Rhinolophus ferrumequinum: one gene and its partners. The protein of the gene in region 1 interacts with the protein of each later gene in a biochemical or structural test. Links are inferred from orthologs where the notes say so. Each region holds a gene or a part of one and is shown in the gene's direction. Other genes may lie near its edges. The genes, in order: CASK, F11R, FCHSD2 and ATP2B4.

What was found.
Region 2: the proteins of CASK (region 1) and F11R form a complex in vitro, tested with the Homo sapiens proteins (2 studies listed by BioGRID and IntAct, with this or other methods). The link is inferred for Rhinolophus ferrumequinum from reciprocal best matches to the Homo sapiens genes CASK and F11R.
Region 3: the proteins of CASK (region 1) and FCHSD2 form a complex in vitro, tested with the Homo sapiens proteins (2 studies listed by BioGRID and IntAct, with this or other methods). The link is inferred for Rhinolophus ferrumequinum from reciprocal best matches to the Homo sapiens genes CASK and FCHSD2.
Region 4: the proteins of CASK (region 1) and ATP2B4 form a complex in vitro, tested with the Homo sapiens proteins (2 studies listed by BioGRID and IntAct, with this or other methods). The link is inferred for Rhinolophus ferrumequinum from reciprocal best matches to the Homo sapiens genes CASK and ATP2B4.

The regions. Positions count from the first base shown.
Region 1 is NC_046284.1:92,023,950-92,031,420, forward strand, and holds the start of CASK (peripheral plasma membrane protein CASK), read left to right. Parts: upstream 1-4,451; 5' UTR 4,452-4,593; coding exon 4,594-4,652; intron 4,653-7,471. UniProt on the Homo sapiens protein: Multidomain scaffolding Mg(2+)-independent protein kinase that catalyzes the phosphotransfer from ATP to proteins such as NRXN1, and plays a role in synaptic transmembrane protein anchoring and ion channel trafficking.
Region 2 is NC_046305.1:2,235,028-2,241,990, reverse strand, and holds the start of F11R (junctional adhesion molecule A), read left to right. Parts: upstream 1-3,945; 5' UTR 3,946-4,077; coding exon 4,078-4,138; intron 4,139-6,963. UniProt on the Homo sapiens protein: Seems to play a role in epithelial tight junction formation. Appears early in primordial forms of cell junctions and recruits PARD3.
Region 3 is NC_046294.1:48,435,324-48,442,460, reverse strand, and holds the start of FCHSD2 (F-BAR and double SH3 domains protein 2), read left to right. Parts: upstream 1-4,118; 5' UTR 4,119-4,613; coding exon 4,614-4,634; intron 4,635-6,424; coding exon 6,425-6,522; intron 6,523-7,137. UniProt on the Homo sapiens protein: Adapter protein that plays a role in endocytosis via clathrin-coated pits. Contributes to the internalization of cell surface receptors, such as integrin ITGB1 and transferrin receptor.
Region 4 is NC_046305.1:27,391,400-27,398,630, reverse strand, and holds the start of ATP2B4 (plasma membrane calcium-transporting ATPase 4), read left to right. Parts: upstream 1-4,210; 5' UTR 4,211-4,620; intron 4,621-7,231. UniProt on the Homo sapiens protein: Calcium/calmodulin-regulated and magnesium-dependent enzyme that catalyzes the hydrolysis of ATP coupled with the transport of calcium out of the cell. By regulating sperm cell calcium homeostasis, may play a role in sperm motility.

The DNA.
Region 1 (7,471 bases):
AGAAAAGGAAATTTTAAGGAGGAGGTACAAATTTAATTCCCCACTTTACCTTCAAAATCTCTCATAGCTAAGTCAGAAGGAAAAATTCTAAATGCTGTGTGAGATTTAAATTTGTTTTTTTCTACACAAAATATAGCTCGTAGAACTAGTTTCAATTAGTAGAAATAAATCCAATGCCCCCTTTTCTGGCCCTGCTCTCTTGATACTTCTTTAGCTCTGATACTATTGACTCTCCCTTCATCTGTGAAAATTGTATTTTTTCTGTTATGCATTTTCTTCCCAAGAATCCAACCACTTTAACTGTTTCTATTGGATCCTCAATCTCTTCCTAATTATGACTGATTCTCTAATCCAAATCAAGAAACATACAACTATTTATTTATTTAACAAACACATACGGAGTACTTACTATGTTCCAGACACTTTCTAGATTCAAGAGTTGAAGGAGAAAGGCTATAAACAAAACAAATAAAAGAGAATTCCAGGAAGTGATAAGGGCTATGAAGTCATTCATTCATTCATCATTCAACAAATGCCTTTTGAATACCTACTACATACCAAGCACTGTTCTAGATGCTGAGAATTCTCTTTCATAGACCTGAATTGGGCCTCTCCATGGTGAGCAAGATGGGACAAGGAGTTGGAGGCAGGAGCCCAGTGAGTAAAGTGAGGCAACATCTAAGTACGGGTTGAGGGTGGAGTTGATTGGGGTGGAGACTGAAGAAGTGGAAAAGAAAGGCACAATCCAAAAGAAATTTTGAAAGAAAAATTGACAGAGTCTAATTACTAGCTGAACATGGAGAAAGTAGAGTGCTAAGAAAAAGCCAATGCCAGCGCTTGGGTATCTAGGAGAACAGGGAGCCTTCCCATTATTCATTCTGCCCTTCTCCTATCAAAAAGTGTCCTGACTTTCCTTTGGGGACTTTTCCCATCCCTACATTCTCAGCCATGAGATTGATTCTCATGCCCAGCTTGAGGGTGGGGCCTGATTGGTTAAATGATTCAGTGACTCATTCCGTGGCTACAGAGATTGGTTCAGGGATGGTCATGTGCCTTAATACAAGGCAAGCAAGAGACAATAAATCCTAGAACATGGGCAAGATCTACTGGACAAGACTCCTCTTTTCCTGGATGCTGATATATAAGAAGGTGAAGTCTGGAACAGTAGCAGTTATTTTGCTACTTCAAGGGGAGAGCATGGAGCTTTGGGGGCCACCTTGCGGAACCTAAGGATGAAGGCAGTACCACAGAATGCACAATGATGAGACTGGGAGAAAGTGGATTTTCAGTGACATCATCTGAGTCCTAGATCAAGCCTCACATGAAGCTATTATACATCTCAACTTTTCAGTTACGTAAGCCAAGGATTCTCTGTACTGTTTAAGCTGGTTTAAGTTTTCTGTTACTTGTAACCAAAAGAATCCTGACTATTGCAGTCTCCATTAGCACATAGCACAGTGTTGAGTCCCCAGGAGGCCAATGAGCACTTGTGATCTTAAGTGGCTCAATGAATGGATACCTTTTGATTTCATTTTGAGTTACAACATGTTCAGTGTATACAGGCACTGTGCTGTGTCCAAAGGCAATCTTGTTTCTACTGTCAAACAAAAGTTTCCAGTGACTTGTTCACTGATATTAAAGGAAGAAGGGTAAAATGAATCTTTAGACAGAGGTTTACAGAAGGAAACACATTTGTATTCATATCCTCTTCTGCTCCCTGAAGTGTTCTTTTGCATTTGTTATGGTTTCTCCACCCTAGTGATGAAGTCAGCCCTGGCTCCTTTTTTCTTGTCAGTGAGCTTATTCAGAGGCCAGTGTTAGGGCAGTGGTTCTTAATTTTTAGGTGTACAAGAGTCACTAAGGGAGCTTTTAAAAATATAGATCCCTGTGTTATCCTCCAGGAGATTTAGATTCAGTAAGTCTTGGGCAGGGCCCAGGAATCAAAAAGTTTTAACGTTTTTCATATGATCCCAGATGACATGGATGCAGTTGTCACTTTGAGAAACACCACTGACTTAGGTTGGGTTCCTCCAAAGCAGATCCTGATAAGGGGATTCATGAGCAAATGATTTATTAAGGAAGTACTCCCAGGAGAAACCTATTAGGGAATGAAAGAGGTAGGAAAGGGAAGGGGAGGGAGCTAGGCAAAGTCCTGCGGAGGGTAGCTGCAACCTGATCCCACAGGGAAGCTCAGGATGTAAGTAACCTCTCAGAGTTGTCCCCTCTCCTAGGGAAGGGAGCTGGGCTTTCACATTCCTGCACTAACAGCCAGATGGGGCAGACCTAAACTCCCAGGCACTTCCATGTAGGCAAAGTGATTCCAGTAGCTTGTGGGAAGTCCTCTGAAGTCACAGGCATGGGCTTTGGAAGCAAAAACATGCTGCAGCTGGGGGAGGGGCACAGAGAAAGGTAAAAAAACGGATAGGAAGGAATTTGAGTGGAGCACTTACAGTGTCAGCTCCAACCATTTAAGGGATTTCAATATTTAGTACAGGAATATCTACATTTTAAATGTAACTAAGGGAGAGGATAGTGTGCACCAAATGAAATGTGGGACCCTCAACAGAAGCAATTCTCAGGCTCTAAAGCTCCCTTCTCTAGAGAATGCACAAGCACATTGGGAAAGGAGGAAAGTCTCCTCATACAATTATATTTTCTCCTCTGATTTGCATTTTTTTTAAAAAAAGGTTTAGTACTCAAATCCTTAACAGTGGCAAATCTCTCAGCCTCTGGAGGGAGTGGTCAAGGATGTACATAAAACGTTTCTGAAGAGAAAATAGGCTGTGGGTCTCCACCCACCCCACACACTTTGGTAAATACTATGTTTTCTTTTTCTTTTTTTAAATTACCGCACTAAGAATTTTACCAGATGATTTCTAGAAGCCGACTTATGAACTAATTGGGCACTTCTGCTGTGCAGAGGAACAAAGACTTTTTTTTATTGGTCCTCAACTGAGCCATATACCTGTCTGATGGCGTTGGCTCATTCCGCACATGCTCAGTGGAACAGAAATCTTCATATTGAATACAATCTAGCACAGCGGCAACACCCAGAACCGCACTCCCTGGTTGACCCTGTGCATCCACTCCCTCTAGTTGATTTTTTATCCTGAATTGTCTAACATTTATAGGGAGTGTAGGGAGCAGAGTAGGTCCTGTGGGCTTGACGGGAGGTGGGGAGCAATATACAAAGGGGCTTAAAGCCTGTTTGTTCCTGCCTTCCTGACCTCTCTCTAGGCTGTCTCGAGAGGGGGCAGGAGCTGGGTAGATATTTGTTAAGTTTGGGCAGAATGCGGGAGAAGCTGTCCCTATAAATTGCCATTTGTTGTTGCACACCTTCGTGGACAGTTTTTGTTTGGTCCGGTACTTGTAGGTGGACGACCCCCCTTATCCAGCCCTCCTTTTCATTAAAGAACGACAGAGTGGCATTAAAAGCATTCGCCGCCTGGCACAGTCTAGAAGAGTGACAACCTCTCCACCTCTTGTTTTCCCATTCATTAGGACCCTTTCCCACAAAAACCGGGAAAGGCTTCCTGTGGTTACAAAGAAGGGGGTTAGAGCGACTGGGATTCTGAGCCTCTCGCCGCAGACAGCCAACAACATGCGTTCGGTCGTGGACCTTTTGTCCTGGCCCCTTCCGCGGCTTGGTCGCGGAGGTGACGACCCGGACCAGCCACCGCCTAAGCAGCTGCCACCCGCGCGCCCCGTGGGCCAACCCCCGCCCCTTTTAGAACCGCGGCACCCGCCCGTTCGCCGTGACGTGACCGGCGGCGCGCGCATGCGCCACTCATCCCTGTTCCCTTTCCTTGGGCCACCGCCCCCCGACGGGCTGGAGTGGGCGGGGCCTGTGGGTGGAGAGGCAGCGCGGCTGTAGCGGGAGGAGGGCGTGTGTGCGCCGGGCGGGTGCGCGGGGTAGGCGAGCTGGTCGGCTGCTGAGGCGGAGGAGGAGGAGCTGAAGGCGGCGGCCACGGCTCCCGCCTGCAAGGAGAGCCAGTCCCGCGAAGCCCCCTCCCATTCCCAGGCGGGCGGCGGCGGCGGCGGCGGTGGCGGCGGCGGCAGCGGGAGGAGTAGAAGGAGGAGGGAGCGTCTCTGCCGCCGCCTCCTGGTCCCCAGCGCCGATCTGCCGCCGCCACCTCCCTCCGCGGCGATCCTCCCTCTATGGTCCTGCCGCGGCCCCTTCTGTAGCCCGAGCTGCCCCGCGCCGTGCCCGAGCCAGCCTCAACAGAGGGAGCGGTCGCGACCTCGCGGCCCGCGCGGGCTGACGAGCGGAGAGCCGGGCCGCGCGGTCCCAGAAGATTCGCACGCCGGGCAGCGCGGCCCGAGCAGCGCGAGGAGCAGCGGGCGGGCGGGCGGCGCCGGGCCCGGGCCGCCCTCGCTCCCGCGCCCCGGCCCGGCCGCCCGCGCCGGGGCAGTCGCCCGCAGAGGAAGGCGCCGCAGTCTCTGGGCCTCGCGCCCCACTCGAGCGTCCTCAGTACCGGGGGCTCGCGAGTCCTGAGGGGAGGAGGCGAGCCAGGGGCCGGGCACTGAGCTCTTTGGCGCCCCCACCCGCGTTTTTGGAGCCCTCCACGCTGCGGCCGCTGTCCCCTCCGGACCATGGCCGACGACGACGTGCTGTTCGAGGATGTGTACGAGCTGTGCGAGGTGATCGGCAAGTGAGTCTTCACGCGAGGGAGCGGGAATGTGGGAAAATGCATTTCAGTGATGCCCGGGTTCTCCCGTACCCGCACCCGCTCCGGGCCTGCCCCCTGCCCTCCCTCACCTCCACCGCCCTGGTCTTCCTCACCCCCAAGCATTTATAGACGTGTACCTGGACCTCCTGCCGGGCGGGGGTCTGGGGAGTTCCCAGCGATCCGTGGAGGTGAACGAGCCGAGGTCGGCCACCCCTTGAGGCGTGGGGCCGGCTGAAATCTGCTGTCTGCATTTTATCTGACGGTTGCACAGGGACGTGGCCGAACCGATTTTATAGTTGCTTCCTGGGAACAGTTGGGATTATTGTTACCTTGTGTGTAGCACAGACCATTGACAAAAAAAAGCAGCTTGCATTTCCTTTGCTTGCGTGGAAAGAAAGAGAACGTCCAGGGTTTTTAATTGTGGGGTGTGTGTCTATTGTGCAGGATATTAGATAGATGTCTTTGTGTTCACCCCATGCCCGGATCGGAGGGGGTCATTTGAGACAGGGTACGTTCAGTTTCAGCAAATTCCTCACCTGGTATAGACGAACGTGGAAAGAGTTGGGGGGATCCGAATTTTTAATGCCTCGTTATGCAATGACTGTTAAATCAGTGTTCAAGGCTTCCCTCGACTGTTGTTGGGATGGTGGTTAGCGTGGTAGAGCCGTCTGCTTTGAGTCACCGGGCTGGTCTAGAATATAGAACTGACAGTCCAAATGCTCATCCTTTCATCTGTGTTGTATAATTACACTAGGGAAAAGCAGGGAATCAGATTAATCACAGTGCTGATTGAGAATTAAATCTGCAGTTCCTCATCTAATTGTCCATTCCTTAAATCTGTTTTGAATAGTTTCCTTTTCATTCTTGTCAAACAGTATTCCAAGTGCACAATCCTGCTAATTTGCTCGTTTGGGAAATGCTGGCAATCTGAAGTTGATTTCGTAGTTCAACGTGTATTCTGTGGGTTTTGAAGTTGAGATAAAATTTAAGAGCAATTCTTGCTTATTTTTTAAGGATTACTAGATAGCTACCATTGAAATATTTCACCTCTTTTTGGAAGCGGTGCTTTATTGTCTATTTTAAGGTCTGTAGTTGGGAAATGAAACGAAGATCTTAGAGCAGTTGGCTCTCTTTTAAGTTGTCTGCAGGGCTGGATTTCAATTTAAGTGCTGATAACTCATTTTTTCCCTTCCATGTTGAGGTATTACAGTGTTTCCTCACATGGTGAAATTGTGGGTAGAGCTTGCTGCACACTTTCCTCAGACCCAGTTGATAGGAGGACATGTTACTCCTTGTCCCTATTGTTTGTTACATGACCAGCCTGTCTACTATAAGAATATCCAAATGTGCCCCTGGTGAAGTAATTGTGGAAGTGCTCTAGAGCAGCGCTGTCCAAATGATATATAATGTGAACCACATGTAATTTTATATATGTAAATTTGGCATATGTAAATTTTCTAATAGCCATATTAAAAATATTAAAAACAAATAGATGCAATTAATTTTAATAAAATATTTTATTTAACCCAATAGATCCAAATTATTAAGATATTTTACAGCCTGTCATACTCAGTCTCTGAAATCCAATGTGTATTTTACACTAACAACACATCTCAATTCTGACACTACGCTACATTTTCATAGGAAATACTTGATCTGTATTTAGGTTTCATAAAATTTGCATTTGCAAAAGTAGATTCACATACCCAAGTTGTTCCAAACATACCTAAAAGTTTTCCAATAATGGATTCAAGTATCTTTCTAAATTTAAATTTAAATTAAATAAAATTTAGTTCCTTAGATGGACTAGCCACATTTCAAGTGCTCAGTAGTCATATGTGAATAGCACAGTTCTAGACAGACAAATACGTAACAAAAAAAAATCCCTTTGGTTTCTTTATTCTTAGCACCCAGTGAAGGTGAATTAGGTGCTAAGCCCCCAATGATTGTGTCTGTATGGGTGAATGATGTTTGTTATGTCTTAGTTATATTTTATTTAAATGAGCCAGCAAAGTCATAATTGGAATTTGTGAGATTAAAATGTTAATTATATTGTGGTGATGGAATATAGCCATCATTGAATCAATGTTAGTTACTAGTTCTGATTCCTTAAGGTCTGGAAGAGTGACGATGTGATCTCTTTGAATATCGAAAAGAAGTGGTCAGCATCGCATTAGCACAACCAATATTCTGCTGACTTATAACTGATACAATATTCTCAGGAAACACCTCTGATCGAAGTAAATTCATCTCTTCTGTTGCCTCAGAGCTGCATAAGGAGGGAGAGCAAGCTAATTTTGAGGTGATAGGTGCTCTATGGATACCTTAACTAATGTGAATGTGAAATCTCATTCATATCCTACAAAATCTGACTTGGTCAGTGCCATTTATGTCATTCCATGAAATAATGAAATTCAAGGTAGCCTTTGTGGGAAAGCATGTAATGATAGTGTTCCTCACCCTGTGTAAAGGTTGAAGGTTTCTCCGGTAAATTGTCTCAGCATATATTGATCTGGAAATTGAAATTCACTTGCGATTTTCTTACAGGAACCTTGACAGCATACATTTTAACTTAGAATTTGTTCAACTCTGGATTTAAACAGAAAGGCCTTGAAGATGTTCATTTGTACTGAAAACCTTTTTGTTGACTTCTATCCAAGTTCTCTGGAATTGTGATTTTCTTTTATGCCAAATTAGTATCACAAGTTGGTTTTGACCCCTAGGTCTTAATAAGTTTAAATTTTCACTGAGATTCTTTAAAATGGATTTCACTTTTCAAGACCAGTTGACCACCTACTCAC
Region 2 (6,963 bases), on another chromosome or scaffold:
AAAAACACACACACAAAAAACAATTCTTTCATTATCTTACAGTGGGGAAGTTATTTCCATTCAGACCTGTATGACTGGCCTCTCTTTAATCATGTCCAAAGTCTCTGTTGGGCACGTAACACTGTTCACCAGTTCTAACACGTACGTGTCCCTAGTGTGTTCAGTTTCTTCTGCACTTCTCCCTACTCCAGATCTCCTAACGTCCATTTCCTCTGCATTCTCAGCTTATGACTTTCCCTCAGACTCCACTGAGAACAGAAGAAATCAGACTGAGATTCCACCATCTTCGCAACTGTACCACATACTTGACTCTTGTGGTGCATGGTTGTCTCTGCTCCCTTGTAACCCTCAGCTTGAGCTCTGGAGCCCATCTTCTCTGTCCTCTGGAACTTGGTACTGCAGCTATCCCCTCTTCTTCATACAGCGTTAACTTTTTCCTCTCTACTGGTTCATTGCCATTCGCATACAAGCATTTCCACATAAAGAAAATCCCTATTCTGTCTTCATCCAACACCCCTCCAGCTACTTCATCTTTTCTCTGTTGTTCTTCTCAGCAGAATCTCGATTGAACTGTCTAGACTCACAGCCTTTATCTCCTCAATTTACACTCTCGCTTTAGCCTTCTCCATACAGGTTTTGTTGCCCTCCCCAGTATCCCACTGAAACTTCTTTCGAGGTGACGCATGTGACACAGTTAGGTGACTGGGGAGGGGAGAGCCTTTGCCCTAGTTGCCTCTCTTCAGTGGAGGCAGTTCCCAAAGAGGGCAACACCTGGGGGATACACCCCTCCTTCCTGAAGGGGAGTCTGGGTAGCATATCACGGCATCCACATGCATAAAACCCTATGTTCCAAAAAGGATGCAACAACTTTATTAGACAGTATGTCTAGTTGTGGCTAAGGGGAAATTGAACAGCAGAGTCAGATGAAGACAGGATGAAGTCAGGAGTTAATTTGCAAATGTGGATTTAGTCTTCCTTGAGACCAAAGTAAAGTGACCAACAGGATCATTTGTAAAATTCAAGGTATCCATAAGACACACATATGACAGAAGTGCAGCGTTTCTCCCCAGGACAGAACATTGGGGAGGGAGTACTGTCAGTGTGCCATGGCAGCTCGGCCAGAGGTCACTTCAGGATTGTTTTCAACTCCGTCCTTGTTCAGTATCTTTATTAACCTATTGGATTTGTCACAGAGAGCATGTTTATGAAACTTGCATGTAACACAAATTCAGGCGCAACTGCTAATATACTGGATGACAGAGTCAAGGTTTATGTTTTAATAATCTCAGAGTTTTCTACTTTGCTGACAAACTCTCCAGTTTGAAGTTTACAAAATCTGCTATTTTTTAAAAAAAGACTACAGAAAACAAATGTCAATGACAATGAAATTTAAAAATCTATTATTTATTTAAACACCTTTATGGGAGAAGGAAATGGGTGAATGTCAAATGATTTGCATGATCCACAATTACCTTAATGCTTTGTAAATGGGCACACAGCTGTTTGACACAGAAATAACCGGATGCATACAATTTGTACTTACTCTCTTTAATAGTAATCAGTAACATTATTTCACGTCTACTTTTCTTTATATTAATATTTCATTTTCAAAACAAGAAATAAGAAGTTGAATAGGGATACATGCAAAACAACCTTTGATCAAGAAAGAACTGCCCAAATATAGGATGTGAGACCTGATTTAATAGTAGTCCAAGTGAAAGTAAAAGGTCGTGGGTTTTAGTTTGCTACAAATTGACTATAATTCAATAGTGTCATTTGGCTATTACATTTGCAAATACATTCTTACATTGTAAGAATGTTGAAAATAGCTACCATTTCAGTATTTAAAATATACTTGGCCCCAATGCTTAGCTTATTATCCTTGTTTTGCTATAAGGTAAGTGATACCACTATTACCATGACTGCCTTAGATGCAGAAAGTTTCAGAGAGATGTGTGCTGGCTAACCACAGACGGATAGCTAGAAATTGAGGATCTGGGTGTGAACCGAGATCTGTCCATCCCATGGAGAGGTGGTTTCTCCAATGCCTTGTTCAGACCTTGGTCAGTAACAAACACAGGATGATCCAGCAGAGGGACATTAATACAGGTGGGGGTGGGGAGGCTTGTGAACACGTACGTACATAAGAAGACTCTTTGAAGGCTATAAAGATGTTCAGCTTGGAAAAAGAAAGACTTACAAAGCTCATAATACGTATCTGAAAATACTGAAAGGAAGGGCTGCCATTGGCAAAGAATAATTAGATATTTTGTGAACTCTAGAGAGCAGTGGCTGAAAGTTACCAGGAGGCAGATTCCAATTTGTTAAAAGGATATTTTAACAATTAAGAGTTGTACCAAAAGCAGAGTGGTCCGTCTTGAGAATATTTAGAAGAGTTTAAGCAGTATTGTATAAACTCTTGGTGGTTATATGGGTCCTCCTATGTAGTGTGAGAGGAAGACCTAAATGACCTCTAAAATGACCCTTCCATCTAAAGACTTCGATCAGTCTCAGAGTTCCTTACAACCCCTGCGCAAGCTCCCCCATCTGCAAGTTTCCTCTGCCGGTCACAGCCCAGTCGCCGGTCTCTTCTCCAAGCTCCTCCCTCTTCGCCTCTTCACCCTCATACTTAACTTTGTGTATATGTGTCTGTCTCCCCAAGAGTTTATTTCCTTTGAGGGTAAAGAAGAGAGCTTTGCACATGGTAGGCAAATATTTGTTTCGATTTAGTAATATGAAGTTTCTCCTCTGGTTATTGTTTCCTGTACTTCTCCTAGAAGTAGACTGTAAGCCATTTGAAGCCAGGGATTGCAGTTAGTATTTGTTTGTATTCCCCTACAGCACCCAGTAGGTGCTTGATAAACATTGCTTTAAGTACGGCAGAACCAGAAGTGGATCTTGGCCCAAGATACGTGAACCAAGGAATGAAAACAAAGATAAAAGGAGCAAAAGGTCAAGGAATATCACTGTTTTGTATAAAAGTATGAACTTTTTATGTGCAGTGAGATAATGATCAGGAAGTTTTCCCACAGGTAACGTGGGTACACAAAGATCAGTTAAAATTAAATCATTGTGAAGTAGAAACTACTAACAGTAAAGGTGTTGAACATGAGTTTCAATTAAAAATGATGTAACAGTATATTAACAGAAAGGTTTAGTATCAACATAGTCTATAGAAAGAGGTGGTTAGTCAGCACCCAACCATTAGTCACCGTGCAGATAATTCTGAAACAGGGCTCTTGTGACAGATCGCGCACGTTGAAGGACATACTCATAGTCACAGTGAGACTCACAGAGCATCTGCGTGTCCATTTGTGTTATCTGGTGTACTTATGCTTGAAGTCCTTGAGACGAGTAATCCTACTTTCCCCGGTCTCTCTCCCGCCCTCCCTTTTCCTTCCCTCCTCCCAGCGCAGGCCCTCTCGAAGCTTGTGAATGCTGCCAGTGGGGTCGACAGAGGAACACGGTTTTGGGTTGTATCATGGTCCTCTAGTCTCCTGGTCCTCTCCCCCCACCCCTCGCATATTATTGAGGTTTTCATTTGATAAAGGACGCGCCCAAGGTTTCTCCAGCACCCAGTAACGTACAGCCAAACAAACATCAAAAAAAAAAAACCTGGCGGGTTTCCGCGGGGTGCGCGACACGACCGCCTTCCCTACCTGCCCCTTCCAGGTACCCCCTACTGCAGCTCCAACCCAACCCCCATTCAGTCCAAGAGACCCTACTTCGGAAACGCCGCCCAATCCGAGTGTGCTCACCTGCAGAAGGTGAGGAGTCGGTCTCCTTTGGCGACTGTTTTCCAGCCAATCAGAGGCGCCACGGGCTTGAAAAGACGCCCCTCAGCCTCACGGGGAGAGAGGTGGGCGGAGCTGCACCTGGCGGCGGTGAGTCACTCAGAGGAGCGGCGGCTGCCTCCTCCAATCGGAGTGCGCAGGGGCGGGGCGCCGGCCAATCGAGCGCGGAGGGCGGGCCGGCGGGCTCAACCTGTGGGCCCGAGCTCCGTCCGCGCTGCTGTGCGCGAAGCTGGGTCTGTCCCAGGGCTCCGGCGGCCGTTCTCGCGTCGGGATCCTGGTCGTCATGGGGACAAAGGCGAAAGTCGGGAGGGAACAGTCGCTTCTCTTCACGTCGGTGATCCTGTGTAAGTTCCCGGAGTTTCGGGAGGAATTGGTGGGTCGGGCCCCTCCCGCGGAGGGGAGGAGTCCAGAAACCTGCCCGCCGCGCCCTCCGGTCCCGCTCCGCTCCCCGCCCCCACCCGGCGGCTGTGCCCGCTCCCGGGGCTCCCGGCCAGGGAGCGGCGGGGTCCGCAGGCGCACACAGCGCGGGGCGCTGGTTCCACTTCCCCGCGCTCACCCTGGGAGGGCCGGTGGGCGCGAGGGCCCTGCCCACGGTCACGCGGGCCGCGCACCTGGGAAGGGTCACCTCCCTAGACCACCCAGCCACCGGGCGCAGCAGCCACCAGCCTGTCACCGCCGACTCCCGGGGCCCCTCCCTGGAAGCCCTGCTCCTTCAGGGGCTCCAGAGAAACTGATGGAGGCGGGTGGGGGGTTCTCTCCCCGGCTGTTGCCCCGCACCCCGCGTCTTTGCGGGGCGGTGGCTGCCCTGGGAAAAGTGGCTGGGTGCAAAGTCTGAAGAGGAAATACAGCTGAAATCTGAAATTGCTCAGAAAACGGCATTCATTGTTCCTTTCGGGGATAACCCGAGTCCTTAATAATCGGTGTTGAGTGACTGGCTGGTCCGGGCGCGGTCGTTGGCTGGATCCTCCTCGGAGCCAGTCGGAGCCTCCGTGAGGCTCGCTGGCCTGCCGGGACCTGCCCGTCCCCGGTGCGGGGGCCCCCGTCGGCGGCCTGTGTCCGCACCTGCCGCGTGTCCGTCGTCTGCGCCCTGAGTGTCCTGCCCACGCTTCTGTGGGTGCTTGTGTCAGTCATTCTGCGGTCGGCATGAATCTCTGATTTTCCCTCAGGGTCCATGTTTTAGGAAATGTTAAAGGAAATGATCAATTACCGTCGATATCGGCAGTTCTAAGGCCATTCATTTTGCTCAGTTCTGAAGGGTGGAGACAGGGTTCCTGCCCGGAGACAGATGGACTGACTACTCTGTCACAAACATTTGTCCCTTGTCACAAAAACATAAGCCTTTGGGTTGGACTGGACTAGAGGCGAGCCTAATGGCCTCTCCATTGTGTAGATAAGGAAACAGCTCCAAAGAAAGGAAATGACTTTTCCAGACTGACAACAAAGGTCTCCTGACTGCCTTTGCCTTTTTACCTCCAGTTTCCATTGTCTGCCTACCCCACCTTTTTACTTCTGCCTGGATCTCAGGACTGTTGTTGACTCCACGTTTGTTGATTGTGTGTGATAGTCAGTACTGAAGCCTGCCCGGCCCTGTACTGTGCCTCCCTCCCCCAAACCTATGAGCTGCTCTTTCTGAGCCAGTGACTCTGCACTATATTTGTCATGCTTGTAAGCTTCCTGGAGCTGCGACCTTCTCCCCTTTTTCCTTTTCTTTCCTTCCTCCTAATTTTCTGTGCCACATAATAATCACACTGGCTCCGAGAGAGTTGTGACAGCACCATTCTGAGGTTGGGGAGGTCCTGTAGTCTGTTCAGGGAATCAGAAAACGGGTTCGGAGGCCAACCCAGGTGACGCTGCATCAGCTTGACAGGACAGTGGGCCCTGGGAAGTCACATGTCCTGGGCTGGAGGAACCAACCCTGTAACATTTAAATCAGGCTGGACTTCGTCCTGTAATCCAATCCCCATCTCGCTTTCTTCAATCTTCTTTACGTTCCCTCCTTAATTTGAAATGCATCAAAGAAGCTGCAAAACTTTTATGCTGTGGGAGCATTTGAGGTCTTGCTTCTGGCATATGTCATCAGTTTGGCTGAAATAAACATGTAAAAATTCTCTAAATAAATTAATAAATAATCAGGCTAGCCCTGGGGAGAGTGATTTGATTAGTACGCTGAGGATGGAAATAGGAGCCAGGCCGCCTGCCTGGGGTCTGGCTTCGCTCTGCCTTATCTGTGATCTCAGGCCAGTAGCTCCGTCTTTTCGTCTGTAAAACAGGAGCAGTGACACTTGTCCTAACCCTGTCCTGACGATTTACCAGTATCACGGCTGCATTACGTACACATGAAGGCGTACTGGGCAGCTGTGGTCCCCTCTAGATTCTGTAAGGATGGAAGAATCTGTCCCTCGGAAAGTAGGTCAAAGAAAGCAGGGAGAGACTTTGATAGATCCCCAATGGCAAAAGTTAAAAAAGTAGGGGCTCGCTGTTGAGCATCTAGTCTGTCCTGTAACCCCTGGGATGTCAGAAGTATGTACAGATGCCTGCGTGTTCTGCCTCCTCCCTCCGGGGCTGCTGCTGTCTGAGGAAGAAGACAGAGCAAGACATGACTGACAATTAAGCAAAGGCCGAACCCCATCCTGGGAACCTAGAGGAGAGGGCGGTCTGAGCCTGCTGGCCAGGGATTGGCAGGGGTCGGAGGCTAAACTCGGAGAACAGGGCTTGAGAGAATATCTGCTAACGAGAGCACCAGTCCCCTGTCCCTAGAGAGCCTGTGCTTAAACAAGTCTCCAGCTGTCTCCCAGGCAGTGAAGAGGCATTTTTGCTTAGCAGAGAGGCATGTGAATAGGACAGGGGAGAAAGGGAAACCTAGTTTAGAATGCTGGTCTTTGCCCCCGCCCCCCGCCCCCCTTTACTGGAGTGTAGCGTCCCCCTGAGACCATCCAGGGTGGAGGGACGGCCCTAGGTCTGGGCCATCTGTGAACCCTGCTGTTCCTTGCTGATGTGCTTTCTAGCTCTGCCGCATAGGGTCAGGCTTGCCCTCAGAGGTGGAGACTCCAGGATCATCCCCCCTTTCGTCTCCCTCCCTCTCCCCCAGTTGAATTTACTCCCAGGAAAGAACTGTTTCCTTGAAACCAGAAACTAGAAAAACCAGACACTAGAAACAGGCCACAGCCAG
Region 3 (7,137 bases), on another chromosome or scaffold:
CCTGCATGTCCTCAATTCACTGCTGTGACCTTTTGTCTACGTGTTGAGATTGGGAGCTCTTGGAGTGCATGCAGGGCCTGGCGCTTACCCCAGAGACCTGCTTATGACTGAACCCAGAACAAGGGGATTGTTGAGTGATGCTGGATGGTATCTGGTTCTGCCACAAATTCACTCTGTGTCCTAGGGAGAGCCCCTGCCCTCTTCTGGTGGTCACAGATCTCAAAGCCGCATTTCAGCGGGCTGTGATTCTCTTGTCTGAAGAGCAGACGCGTGGAGGAGACATACCCCCATGCCAGGCTGGCCGTGTTAAGGGGATTAGCTCAGGTAGGAGCAAAGGCCCCTATGTGTGTGCCTGTGGGATGGAGGTGGAGAGGGAAGGTGACTAGGGTAGAAGGAAGGTGAATAGGAGTGGGGTCCACAGACTACATTGTCTGCAGCTAGGCTCTGCGGGGTGCAGGCAGGAAATAACTGGCATCTGTAAGTGGGGGATCATGACAGAGCAGGAAAGGAAGCAGAGGGTCTGTGAACCCCAGCTGAAGGGGGGTGGTGCAGTATGGGCAGATGGGTTGGTGGCCACCTTCTCAGCAGAGAACCTTGGGTGGAGTGCCCGCCTGTCCTGGGTACCCACTCTTCACTGGGCTGGGACGCTCTTCATGTTCTAGCCATGTCCAAGGGCTGCTGCACACACTGCCTCCCCGGGGGTTTTCCTGAGAGTCCTGGAATATTGGAATGGCTCATCTTCCAAAGCCCATTCATATACCTGCTCCAGGCCAGCTTTCCATCCTGGCTCTTAAGCTTAGAATCATTTTCCTTCTGGGAGACTGCACAGCAGCACACACACTAGAGGGAGAGCACAGCTGCAGAGCTAGAGGGAGCCAGGGGCCAGGCCTGCTCTCCTGTCCTAGCTGTGTTACCTTGGGCAGGTCATTTTACCTTTGAACCTCAGGCTGTGAAATCTGTGAAATAGGGTCATATTTATCACGAGGGGTTGTTGTCAGGGTTAGAAACAATATAAATGACATGTCTTGTTCAATGCCTGAAACATGGAAAAGGTAACATAAATGGTAGTGGTTATTCCTTCCCAGGGTGAGAATCCTCCTTGATGGAAGGAAGCCAACACCTGCTTGCACAGCCCCAGGGATGGGGGAGTTTGTCCCCTCTAGGGGTGGCTCTGCCTAGAAAACCTCCTTCCCTAGATGCAGCTGAGACCTGTCCCAGTTCTGTCTCTGGAGCCACACACAGTACATGCTACTCTGTGGCCATGGGACAGCTCTGTGGCATCTCCCCCAAAGAATCTTAAGAAATCTTACGGGTAACATGGTGCTTGCCTGCTTTGCAGGAGAAAGGCTCTGGAAGTCTCCAGCCTGATTCAAAGGTGTATATGTGTATTTTAATTCAGGCTTGCATAAATCACAGAAACCTTTTCCCCCTCCCTGTGACTTTGGAACATATGGATTGTAACCTCCTGAGACTGCTTTTTTCTTGGGTGAACTTTCCTAATTCCTTTGAACATTCCTCATAGAGGCAAATGGGAGAACAGGGTTCTGGTCCCAAATCCATTACTTCAGGGCAAGTCACTTCTATTCAATGAGCCTCTAGTTCCCCATTTGTAAAATGAAGAAAATACTATTTCATAGGTTTACAATTAAGATTAGCTTGGAAAAGTAACATGAAAGTTTGGAGTTTGGAAGTTCCGGTGGTAAATATTAAGTGCGTACTTTTAAAAATCATTTTTGAAAAAGCAGTTAGTAGGCATGCCCATCTGGTGTTGCCCCTTAGTTTTATAAAACCTCCAAAGGAAATTATTCCAGAAAGTCAATGCCATTCCTGGTTTCACAATAACGGCAAATAAGGTGGGGGATGCCCTCTTAAATTCATAAAGTGAAGCCTCAGGGTTTGACTTAATCTGCGAAGAGTCTATTAAGGTCCAGGCCCATTCACTTACTTTATTCTGCAGTTGGAACCAAGGCCCAGAGAAAGCCCAGCAGATCAGTGGTAGAGGCTGAATCTAAGTCGCCCAACATCCAGCACACTTATAGCCCCAGTGCTCACTGCCAGAGGAGGACGGTGAAGGGAAGATAGTCTCTGGGCCAGACTAGATACACGCAGGACGAGGATTCAGCAAATCTTTCTCAGGCACCTTCTATGTGTGGGCCACTACCTCTGGGCAAGCACTCTTACCGCTCCCCCACTGGCCCAGGGTCATTCATGGAATGGTTGGTTGGTCAGCCTTGGTGAAGGCCTAGGCTGACACTGTTTTGCTCATCCCTCTATCCCTGGTGTTTGGTACAAAGACTTGGCAAAAAGCAGGACCTTAGCAAATATTTTTGAATGAATGATGAATCAGTGAGCATTTATTGAGCACTATGTACCAGGTCTTGTGGTAGGAGAAAATCTATTTAATACAAGCCTGCAAGGCTGATATTATATCCCCATTTTACAAGTGAGGAGATAAAGGCTGAAAGAGTTGGACTGACTCGCTCAAGGCCTCGCAATGAATTGGTGGTGGAGCTGAGACTGGAGCCCAGCCTGGCTACCTCTGGCCTGGGCTCTAGGTATTGACCCACAACTCTCAGGGACCTGGGCCTCCATCCACCTGTTCTCTTGCCCCAGGCCTTCCCTGATAGTAACTGAGGACCCTGCAGAAGGGCTGACTTTTGAATGGCCTCAAGGAGACCAGAAATAGCAAGCTTGGTCTCCTAGTTTACACATAGCTCTAGATTAAATCTGATTCAAGCATAGCTCTGATTCTATCACCTTCATGTACAATAATCTAGGCTAACTCAGTGTAAACAACCTGGGTTCAAGTTCCATCTTCCCAACTTCTGGCCATGTGGCCTTGAGCAATTTACTTGGGTCTCTCCAGGCCTCACTCACTTTCCTGTTTTGCCTGACTACACTTCTGAGAACAGGTGTCAGAGATGCCAACTTCTGATAAAACTATGGGGCAATCTAGTTCACCCTCTACACAGCCCTGTGGCTCCAGAAGAGGGATTTTCATTCTTCTAAGGACTCCAAGAGAGGCAGATACCCCTCCTGCCAGATGGTCTGCAGAGCAGGAAGGTACTGGGGTCGTGCGGTGGTGGGTGTGGGGGCTGCCTGGATGAGCATCTTCATTGGCAGATGAGGCAGCCCAAGCTCACTTAGCCAATTAGAGGCAGGCAGAGTGGACCGGCATCCAGAGCTCCTGATTCCCAGACAAGGGCTTCCTCTGCCCCTGCTGCCTCCTCTACTTTTCCTAATGGATCGTCTGCACCTGTTTCTTTATAACCCAAAGAACCCTTCGTGATCCAGAGATTCTAGTCCTACTGTGTGACCTTCAGAAAGTCTCCAGTCCTCTATGGGCACTATTCACCCCATCCATAAAATGGGGGCCCTGCCTTTAACGACCTAACTGTTCCCTTCCTGCAGAGTCCATGCTCTTTGACTTGAATGCCCTGTAGCAGAGAGCTGTTCTTTTTCTTTAAAGGGGAACTAGACACTCCCCCCGCCCCCCAACAACAGTCAGGCACCTGTGATCTGCTGTGATAAGACTTGCTAATGCTGGCTCCCTTGGTGCCTATCTGCCCGGCCCATTTGCTCGGGAGAGAGGGGTGTTGGAGGACCGAGATGAAGCGAAAACCGGAACTCTCCTACTGTCACAGGCATACTGACCCCTTATCATTGTAAAAACTTCACTCTGAACGTCCACGACCCCCCAGCCCGCACAAACACTGCAGCCGCAAAAGCCAGCAGGAGGTAGGGGCTGCTTGTGCGCGTGCGTCGGCGCAGAGCCCTCTCCCGCCCACGTGCGCGCCCCCGATCGGAGGCGCGCGCCTCGGCAGGCTGGCGGGAAAGCGCGCGGGAAGCCCCCGGCTGGCTCCCAGTGTGGGGGAGGGAGGACAGGAGGCGTTTGGAACGTGCCACTCTAGGGAAGGACGGGGGGATTTTCGTGCTCTGCTAATGTTCCTGCCCCTCCTATTCGCCGACCGATCCGTTAATTCCCCCCGTCCCCGCCACGATAGGGAGCCCCACGCCGCGGCCACGGGACCTGGAACCCGGCTCTGGCCTAAGCTGTCCCCTCCGCCGCCGGAGTGGGGCGCTGCGCCTCGCGGTGGGGCCGGAAATTCCCGCGGCCTGAGTGGAGGAGCTGAAGCTGAGAGCGCGGCACCGCCTTCACCTCCCCGGGCTGGGTGGGGGCGTCAGGCCCAGCGAGGGCCGGGCTGCCTGAGTGGGGGCGGGGGACCGCGTCTGTGAGGAGCCCCGGAGCCGACGGCTGGCGGGGAGCCGGACGACGCGGCTGCTCCTCGAGAGCCGACCGGCGAGCTGGGAGACTGAGCCCCAGCTCTCGGGCCCCCGCCCCCTCGCGGTCTCCGCCTCCTTCCCTCACACACCCCCCAGGCCGCCAGAGCCCCAGGCTTTCCCGGCGCTCCTCCTCCTCCTCTTCACACTCGCCCTCCGACCCGGGTCCTCCTGCCGCCTGCCGGCCTTGTTCCCTCCCGGGCTAGTCCTCGTTCTCAGGCTCTCCTTTCACACACACACGCGCCGGCTGGGCCGTCCCCTCCCGTCGGCCCTCCTTCTCCTCGTCTTAGCTAACGCCGCCGTCGGTGGAGGATTGATGTCCCTTCAGCATCATGCAGCCGCCGCCGAGGAAGGTGAGGGTGCAGCAGGGGGGCTTCGGGGCTCGGGGAGGATGCGTCCAAGGAACGCGGCTGGGGCGACCGCTGCGCCCCCTCCCCCTTTCCTCAACCGGCCGTGACCGTCGTCGCCTCTGGCTTGTCACTGAGATTCCGCCGGTTCTAGGCGGGGGGGCACGGGTGTGAGGTGACTTTCCGACGGAGGGGTGGCTGAGGTTCGTCCCTTCCAGTACGCGAGAGACCCCCGACATTTCAGAGGAGTTTCGGGTGTGCATTTGTGTGTGTGCGCGCGCATGGCAGTGCTGCTCGCTGCAAAGTGCATTCTCGGGGCTGCACCAAGGGGAGGCGGGGGAGCCCCTGCAGCTTTGCAGAGCCTTGTGCTTGTGTGATTGTTTAGTCTGCACCAGGTTTGAGCCCTCCAGCTGCCTGTCGCCACCCTCGCCCATTTTGCAAATTTGCAGGGAATTTGTTTTTAGCCCAGCCTTAAGGTTTGGCCTGCTTTTCCCACGGGGCGGGCCGAAAAGAAGTTGGAATAGTCATCTCCCCCCCCCATCCCAGGGGAAAACAAGAAATTAAGCATTGACCAGTCAGTCCTGCCTTTCTCTGTCCCCCACCCTATTCCTGCCCCGTCCCTCCGGGTAGGGGGCCAGGAGGCGGTGATGCTGTCCTCAGGAGAGTGAAAACCGGGCAGTGCGTGGCGGGTGCACCGCGATCTGGATTTGGGGTGGGAGTGACGGGTGCTCCGGGCTTGTCAGCAGCTTTACTGCTGCACTTTCTGAGAACTGTTTCACAGCCCTCTTCACGTTTCCCAGGGGCTGAGTCTGTGTCCTTGTCTTTTTAATCCTGCAGATAGTTACTGAGTGTCTACTCTGGGCGCTGGGTGGAGGAGGCTGTTCTATCCTCCCCTCGTGGGCAAACGTTTGTTGAATATCTAACTCACTCGTGTCTGCCTCCTCCTCTTTCTTTCTTAATCCGGGTTTCTTCAGTTAAGTAAGTCTTTTTTCTTTAAAAAACGTACCCCGACCCCTCCGGGTAGCCTCACTCCGGCGGTGGGGATTCCAGGCCCACTGTAACCTGGAATCCTGGGGTCCCGGCCTGGCGGGCGAGGCACTGGCCAGCTTGCATTTGCTATTCTGGCTCTTTAAAGTGGAGCCGCGGCGGGGACCGGCTTGCTGGGGTGGCTTAGAAGCACTGCATATGCTGGAAGGTCACTTTTGCTTTCTCCTTTGTGAGAAAGATTGTGATTTGATGCGCTGTCAGCGAGTGGAGGGCATCATCCAGAGACAGTGTGCTTTCTTGCAGCCATTATGGAATAATTTATGTAGTCCGTTCATGCATATAATTTCATGATTGTGTAAATTTCAGTCATTAGATATTAGGCATTCTTATGCTCCCTTCTCCGGGCTACACTCTGCTCAGTACTTCTGGTGGTTAATATCTTTGAATCCTTTTTGGAAGAAACAGAAGACAGACTCTTTTAAAACTCTAGGAAGACCTAGATATGTACTGAGCTTGTGCATGAAATTGAATGACTAGCAGTTTATTTTGCACCTCTTTAATCTGTAATTTTTACACTTGTGTACTTAGATTTAGCCTCTGTTTCAGGTTATTTGGCTAATTTTTTTTCATACTGAGTATCTTCAGTAAACAAAATTAGGTGGCTAATAATGGATTTCTAGTTTCCAGGGGAGAGGTGCGCAAGAGGTGTATATTCTGACAAGTATTAAGTATTTTCCTTAAGCAGTTTTTTTTGTTTGTTTTTTGTTAAAGTTGCAGTAAGGCCTTCATAAATATATGGTGTATTTTAGGTGAAAGTTACACAAGAACTGAAAAACATTCAAGTTGAGCAGATGACAAAACTTCAAGCCAAACATCAAGCAGAATGTGATTTGCTTGAAGATATGAGGTAAGGTTATAGTAAATAGTTTGAGAACTTCTGTATCTCTGTTTCAAAGAAGCTTTGAGTTACCAAGCCCCAGGAACTGATGATGGAATTTCCTTTTGGATTTCCTGCTTTAAGGCTGTTAGAGCTTTGACTCAGCTAGAAATTATAACTGGAACTAACACAATACAAACTTTTTTTCCTTTAGTGGGGGAACCTATAACTTACACATACTATTATGAAAAAACAAGGGTCTTAAAAGTTTATCTGTCAAATTATAATCATTGAAGTTGAAATTCTTATTTAAATAATCTTTTTACTGAATTATAACATTTATTGACCTTATCGATTTCACACTGATTTTTAAACTAACTCCTCTGGTTAATGGTTAATATCTAGGGGTGAGCCGGTCAACCTGAGATGATTATATACTAGCGTTATTTGTTGGAGCATGACAGACACAACTTTATCTTTGAACATTAAATTTAGTGAGAAATGTGTTTATCATTAAAATTACCTCTGTTCATAATCAAGAAAACTTTGAATTTAGACATTATGCCAATTGTGAAAATTGGTATCTTTCTTTATAGAGGGAAGCATGACTCATTTTACTGAAAGAAATACCACCATTTTATTTAA
Region 4 (7,231 bases), on another chromosome or scaffold:
ACTGCCATGGCTACGCTAGTAGCAAAAAAAAAAAAAAGGGGGGAGCTAGCAAGAAGACAGTGGCTGAGTCTGCAAGAGGCACAGTGAGGGTTGAGAACTGTGTTGCTCCTGGTTCCTGTGTCTCCAACCCAGCCGCCAGTGAGAGTATAGTGGTGTGACTCCCCTACCTATGGCTCCGTGGGTGTTCCTTTTTGGCCTCACCATGTCCTGCGTTCTTATGTGGGGAGTGGGACCAGAGACCCCGCCTGACACCCTGCACGACACATGGAGAAGTCGGCAGGATCCCCTGCACTACACCTTGCCAGTCAGCACCTTTTGAGCCTTGGTTTTGCTCTGGGGCCCGGGTCCAAACTCTTTGGAGTGTACTTTCTCTTCTAATAATGGCCTTGAGCCACTGCTTTCTGCTCAGGCTCACTTCTACCTCTTTGAAGTGTACTTTTTCTTCTGATAAATTTCTTTTTCACTACTTTGTCTCGGTATCTCATTCAATTCTTTGCTTGAGATGCCAAGAACCTGGACATTGTGCCGAAAAGGGCCCACTCTCCGGTAACAAAATGAGTGTACCTAAATGGTAGGTACCAACTCAAAGGGTTTCTATATCCTCTTCTATATTACATTTCTATATTATTTAGGACAAGTGAAAAAAAAAACCCACACAATTTAATCTAGCTTATGCATGCATAATGAGTCATATAACTAACTCATTGTAGAAACAGCAAGGGTACAGTAAGATATGAGGTACAGTTGGCTCAAATGCTGACAGGACTCACCCTTCAGCTTTCTTCTCTGCCTCTCTCCACATGTTAGCTTTACTCTTTCCTACTGGCAAGCTTCTTCTATATGACAGAGAACATGGCCGCTGATATTTCCAGAGTCTCATTCCTCACAGTGTTTACTGCCGGAAGGATACTCTTTGATTTTAAGTTTAAAAATCCCAGGAAAGGATGTAATTAGCTCAGTTTGGATCATTTAGGGGTGGGACCTCAAATAAAATGACAGTTCCTATCTTAAGAGTGAGGAGAAAGACCATCTTTAAAAAGCACTAGATCTGGGTATGGGTAGAGAGTTGCTATTCTAGACAGACAAAATTGGGGAGAGATGCAGTTTGTATTCAAAGGAGGTGGGGGGAAATGGCAAGGGTGGTTTGGGGAACTCAAAGTGGAGCTCTCAGGAGGCCAGAGGAGCATATTCTGTTACGCACTTAAGGGAGAGTCAAAGCTGACTGCATTTTCTTCAAGTGAGAGATGGGTGGGGACAGGGTGCACAGTGATGAAAACAATGCCGAGACTGACCTGCTGAAGGGAGTTCATGACACCCAGGAAAGAGGAGCCAGGATAGAGCTAAAGAAGCAGAGAAACTGTGAAGTCAAGAAGACAGCAGGTATAAGAAGGCAATGGGGCTACTAAGCTGCTTGGGCAGCCAGCCATATCCAACAGCCCAATCAAGAACTTTGATGGCGGAGGCTGTGCCCTCCCTCTTGCCATGGTTGGGGAAAGGGGCACAACTCCACTTTCCCACATTCAGTGGTTATTTTTATGGGTAGATTTATTTTTATCCATTTAGACCTCAAGCCTGCTGCTAGAAGGAGCAAGGCACTGAAGCTTCTGGATTTCCAGGAAAGGCAAGCTTTGGTGGTGGGCTCAGCTAGTCGTCAGGCTGCAGCCGCCCCTGGAGTTACCACCTTGACCCACCTCTCACATCCTTCTCTCCTGTCTATATGGAGCCTAGGGGTTGGAATGGGGTGGGGGTGCCTCTTCTCTCATCCCACAAACCCCCACTGGGAATGGGGGAACACTGGGTTCTGAGAGAAGGGAGGAGCTACCTACAGGCTATCATGCAAGTCAAACTCCTGGCCTGCCCTGAATCCCAACCAGCCAGAGGTGGGGCAGAGACATCAGAGCCTCTTTGGCAGCACCTCCCCTGCAGAGTCTGCCTCCCTAGAACCAAGGAGTTTGAGAAGAGGATCTTGCCTTTCAAATACTAACTAGGCATCATTTCCAGCTCCACGTGCCAGCAGCCAAAGCAGACTTCTCCTTTAATGGGACCACACATATGGCCTAAATTGTTATTCCCCTAAGACCAGTTTACTGAACAGTTAGGCAATGGCTCCCCACGTAGTCACTGCAGTCAAGCTGAAAATATACTTTAATACATTTAAAACACCATGTCAGAGACTGGCTTTCTCACGATAAAGATGCAACTGACACTCATTAGGAGCTGAAATGTCAAATTGTTGTAATCTAGCACAGAGTTTAACAAGCCATCAAATCTGAAGCCCTGTCCAGTTGATTCCTTTCCATTCATTCTCTGTCTTCACTAACAATTGATCTGGGCTCCTGAAGCTACATTTTGGTAGGACCTTCCAAACTCTAACAAGGTACCATCTCTATCCCTGCCATCAGTTCTTCCACTAAAGAACTGGGGAGTGGGGTGGGGAGGACCAGAGATGTTTGGAGAGGGGCAGGGAGTAGAAAAAAAATCTCACCTTTGGTGTCCTCCTAGTATGAGACCTTCAATTCCAAGGAAGAAAAGACTGCTGGAGAACAATCCATGGATGGCTTCCATAGAAGGTAACCCTAAACTCCCCTCCCCTCCCTTGTAACCTTCCATCAGCTGGGCTGGGCTGGGGAGAAGGGGCACAAGGACAGGCAGGGGCTTATCTTGGATCTGGTTCCCAAGTTAGATGGCAGCAGGCAATCTCTAGCGCCACATGGGGAACTCTGAGTTCTGAGCCAAGCCCAACCACTCTTAAAAAATTTCTTCACTTTTGTCTGTTTAACTTTCCCTCGCTCAGAAATAGGATGTGGATGAGTTGTTGAGAAATAGTAGGATAGGAAAGTAAAAAGAGGAAAGCAAGGACCCAAATGTTAGGAATTCGGGAAGGACGCTAATGGGCAGAGGGAAACCAGAGCCCAGGGGCTAATTCACAATTCTGTTTCTCAGTGTGCATGAGGGTCTTCGTCCTGGGGCAAAGGAGGACCCTGTGGGGTGAGGAGTCAGGTTAGAATGGGTGAGTCAAAGAGGTCTCTTCCCAAACCCCTGAAGTTGTGGTGGGTCACCTTCTTCACAGCGTAGTTTACAATTCTAACCCGGTTTCCATAAGCGTATGTATATGACCGAGTGTGTGTGCTGAGGTAGGTGTGGGAATAGCTCAGTCAATGAAGACATGGTGTGTGAACCAATTATGGTACATGTTTGTACTTGAAAGCCATAAAGTTGTAGGCAAAAATCTATGGGTGGCACTGTTGCACAATGCTGGTGGGTGTGTGGCTGCAGGGGTATGATTAACAGTTTATAGGCTGTGTATAAATGTGCATGGTATCTGAGTGTGTGCAAATTAAAATGGAAATGCATGCCAGAGTATGACACAAGCACAGGAAAGTACAGGAGACTCTGACTTGGTTTTGTTTCTGGCTCTGTTATTAACCAGATGTGTAACCTTGGGCGAGTCACTGATCCTCAACTTCCTCAACTCTGAAATGAGGATAATAATAAGTACCTTTCAAGATTGCCATGAGCATTAGAAAGGAAACCATATAACAAAGCTCTTGGTGCCATAGCCCATGCATAGTAGGACTCAAAAGTAAGCAGCTGTTATCATGTGCTGGGGATGTGCCTCTGTGGGGTACAGAGGCAAGAGGGAGCAAAACGTGACCAAGAATGGTGTGTGTGAAATATGGGTGAAGACTGTACTAAGGTGTGTGTATAAGCAAAACCGTGTAGGTGTGTGTGTAACCCAAGCAATTCCTTATGCTTCTCCAGTGAGCTCCCTATTCAGACAGGGGCGAGAGGGTGAAAGTGGATGATACAAGTTTCCCCAGACACCTTGGGTTTTTGGGTTTCTGGGTCCTGGGTCTAAGTGAGTAAGAGGCTGAGAGGCCCAAAAAGAGCTGCAGGAAGCCAACCGCCGGCAGAAGCTTCCTTTTTTCCCTCCACCCAGCAACGGTTAAATACCGCCACCCACATCCACTCCCCACCTCCATCCCCCACCCTACTTTCAACAAGTGAGAGCAAGGGCGGGGAGGAAACTCCGAGAGAAGAAAGGATTCCTCCCCTTCCTTTCTCCATTCCCCCTTAAGACGAACCAGGAAGAAGCCATAGATTGCAATCGGGCCACCTTAACAGTGGAGAGCTAGTCTGGCCTCTCGCCAAGTCCCACCTCCCTTCCACCTCTTGCTCCTCCCCTTTCTCCTCCCGCACTGCTGGGGAGAGGTGGTGAGCTACAGTCTGGTCGAATTGGCTCGAGCTGTTGCCATGACAAGCGTTTTCTTAAGAAAGCTCCGCTGTTGAGACCATCCAAAGCTGGGGGTTGAGGGGGAAGACACGAACTTCCTGGGTAACCATCCTTCCGAAGAAAGCCAGATCTTAGACACCCTCCCAGCTCCCCTGCATTATTTTCTTCCAGGAACCTGAGAGGTCCTTCCTACTGGGAGGACCGGGGGGAGGAGACCCTGCCCACTCCCTGGCGGTGGCTGAAAAGGCAGGAGATTAAAGCCAGATTCTCTAGCGTGACTGCCACACTGGGGAGACCAGTGGTGGTCACCCCTACCCTACCCTGTCCATGGAAACCCGGAGGGAGCGTCTTGCTTGGAGAAGCCTGGATCTTTGCTAGAAAAAGAGGTAGGCTTGCAGAGAATGAATTGACTCGCGATTTACAAACTTTGTTTCTTTCTTTCCTCTCAATGGCTTCTAAAACTCCCGAATTTACTCTTCCTGGCATATTTCTTGCGACTGTGTGTGTGTGTGTGTGTGTGTGTGTCCGCGCGCGCGCGCGGGCGCGCGCGGGCGCACAGATTTGTCAAATACTGTATTCCTTTCCTAGACTCAGTTTTGAAAAACCGTATAATCAAACAAATGACTTCTTTTTCTTTTCCTAGTTTTTGTTATTCCTGGGCCGTGGGGGTAGGGGAATGGAGGGACTCTTTTTCACACCCAAAATGCACCCCTCTTCCTTTCCTGCTTTTCCCCTCCCCCTTGGCTTGGGAATGAGATGCCAAATGGAAAACTGTTGCAAAAATATTTTCCGCGTCTGTTCCCTTTCTCGAAAGCCCCAAAGAGAGACGGGGGGGGGGGGAAAGAACCAAGTAGGAAATCTTCAACAAGAAGGAGGGGCTGCAGTGAAGACTAGGAGAGGGGCTCACTGGGGGTTGGGTGGAGCTAGAAGTTGGGCGGTGAGGAAGAGGAGTACACAAATTAAATTTTTTTGCTTTATACAGAAACCTCAGCAGTTTCTCTCTGCCACTTGCAAAACATCCTCAGACTTTCACGTCTATAATTAGCTGTGGAAAAAGCTGGGAGTTCCCTGTACTGCTGTTGTTTGAGTGTGAGTGGAGCGTCAAGAACCAACTGTATGAGTGTATCTGAGGGCACCGCCCCATGTATCTCTGTGAGAAAGGAGAAGGAGTGAAGTTGGAAAGTTTGCAATTTCAAGGCTGTTGACTGTAGGGGTGAGTGTTTGGCGGTTGGGGTTGGTTGCAGGCATCTTTGGGAGTGTCCCAGAACGTCTTGGGGCTGAACAGGTAGAAATTAAGGCTGTATTGTTCCTCCTAGCCTCCCTTCACACGTATGTTCACTCACATACTTGGCTCGCTCTTGGGGTGGAGGAAGCTGGCTGGCATCCTCTCCCGGACGAGTCCAGCCTCGCACACTCCTCCATCACAGAAGGACCAGGGCTCTCTCTTGCTGGGTATGGAGGATGCGGGAGGGGCCAACCACAACCTGGGAGGCACCTGCTGGCCAGAGACATCTTTCTCCTGGGCATTCCTCATGGACTTACAATAACTTGCAGAGGCGAAGTCTGCGCGGGCTGGCCTGGTAAGGGGAATGTCAGATGAAAAAATAGGCGGGCCCTCAACTGACGCCGCTAGGGGGAGGGGAAGTAAAATCCCATGCTACAGCGCCACCTCCTCCTCTGGGTGGAGATCCTCCTCTCTTAAGATCCTCCCCTCGCTCCTTGAGCCCCTCCCCAGAGCTGTTCCTTCAGACCTTCCTGTGTGGAGGTCCCCCTCCAGCCCCCCTCAGCTGGGGCCCTCTTCACAAGGAAGAAGGGAAAAGACCAGGGTTCTCCTAGGCTGGGAGAGGCCTTGGAGAGGGTCCTGGGGTCAGGAGAGACGGGCTGGAGGAAGGTTTATGAGGAGGAGGGCAGGAAGAGGTGATGGCTCTGATGGTTAGTGAGCAGCTAGGCTGGGGGGGCGGGGTAGGGGGACGTGGAGAGCTAGCTCTGGGAGGTTGTCCTGGACCTGAAGCTGACACATCTGTAGGGTTCAATCCAGGGGGAGAGGAAGCACCTGCCCTTTGCCCCAGTCAGTTTGGTTGGAGGGGGTGGTAAAAGAGAGAGCTTAGAAACTGGAAAGAAGGAAGTAAATGACTTGGAGGAGAGCTTAAATGGGGGCTGGGGAAGCAACAGGAACCTGTTTTCATTTTGAGGTGTTGGACGGTTGACCTGACTGCACCCTAAGGCTAGACAGCTCTTCCCTCCCTCCCTGTATTCTAATCAAGAAGAGAATGAGGCCTTCCCCAGGGGCTAGGGGACCCAAGATAGGATCCTGCCCTTGTTCTGTCGGAAGGAGAGGGGGAGAATCCATTTCTTGGCACTTGCACGGGAGCCCCATCCTCCCTGCCACCATCTTGCGGAAGTACACCCCTTAAATCACGCCGCTCCCCGGACCCTCCCCGCGCCCCATTCCCTCTGGGGGCGTGCACCATTCCTGCAGCCGACCTTCCAATTTTCAGTGCTCTGACTAGGACTAGATTCTGGTAGGTTCGGGGAGAGTTCCCAATTTAGCGTGCACCCATGCGCCTGCTCCGGTGGCGGTAAGCTGTGGGGTCGGTATCCGGAACGCAGCGAACCCGCGGCCGCTCTCCCGGTGTCTCTGTGCTGGCACGCGCCGCCGCCCCTCCCCTAGCGCCTCAGCTCCACTCCCGGCTCTTCCTTGGTCCGAGGGCTCTGTGCAGAAGGTGCTCTGAACGCAGGAGAGGGCCACAGTCCTTTTCCCTTCGATTGTCCACCTCCGCGTCCCGGGCTGAATTCAAGGTCAAGCCGAAAGAACGCAGCTCTGGTAGCCCCGGCGGCTCCCGTACTTAACACAGTACCTGAGAAACTAAAAGGTGCTTGGACAATGTTTGTTGAAAGAAGGAAGTGGCATTTTGGGGGGAGCCTGGGAATCAACCTCATCTGGGCTAATGCTCCCACAATAATAGTGGAAGGGAGTGGCTGAGTCAGATTTGTCAG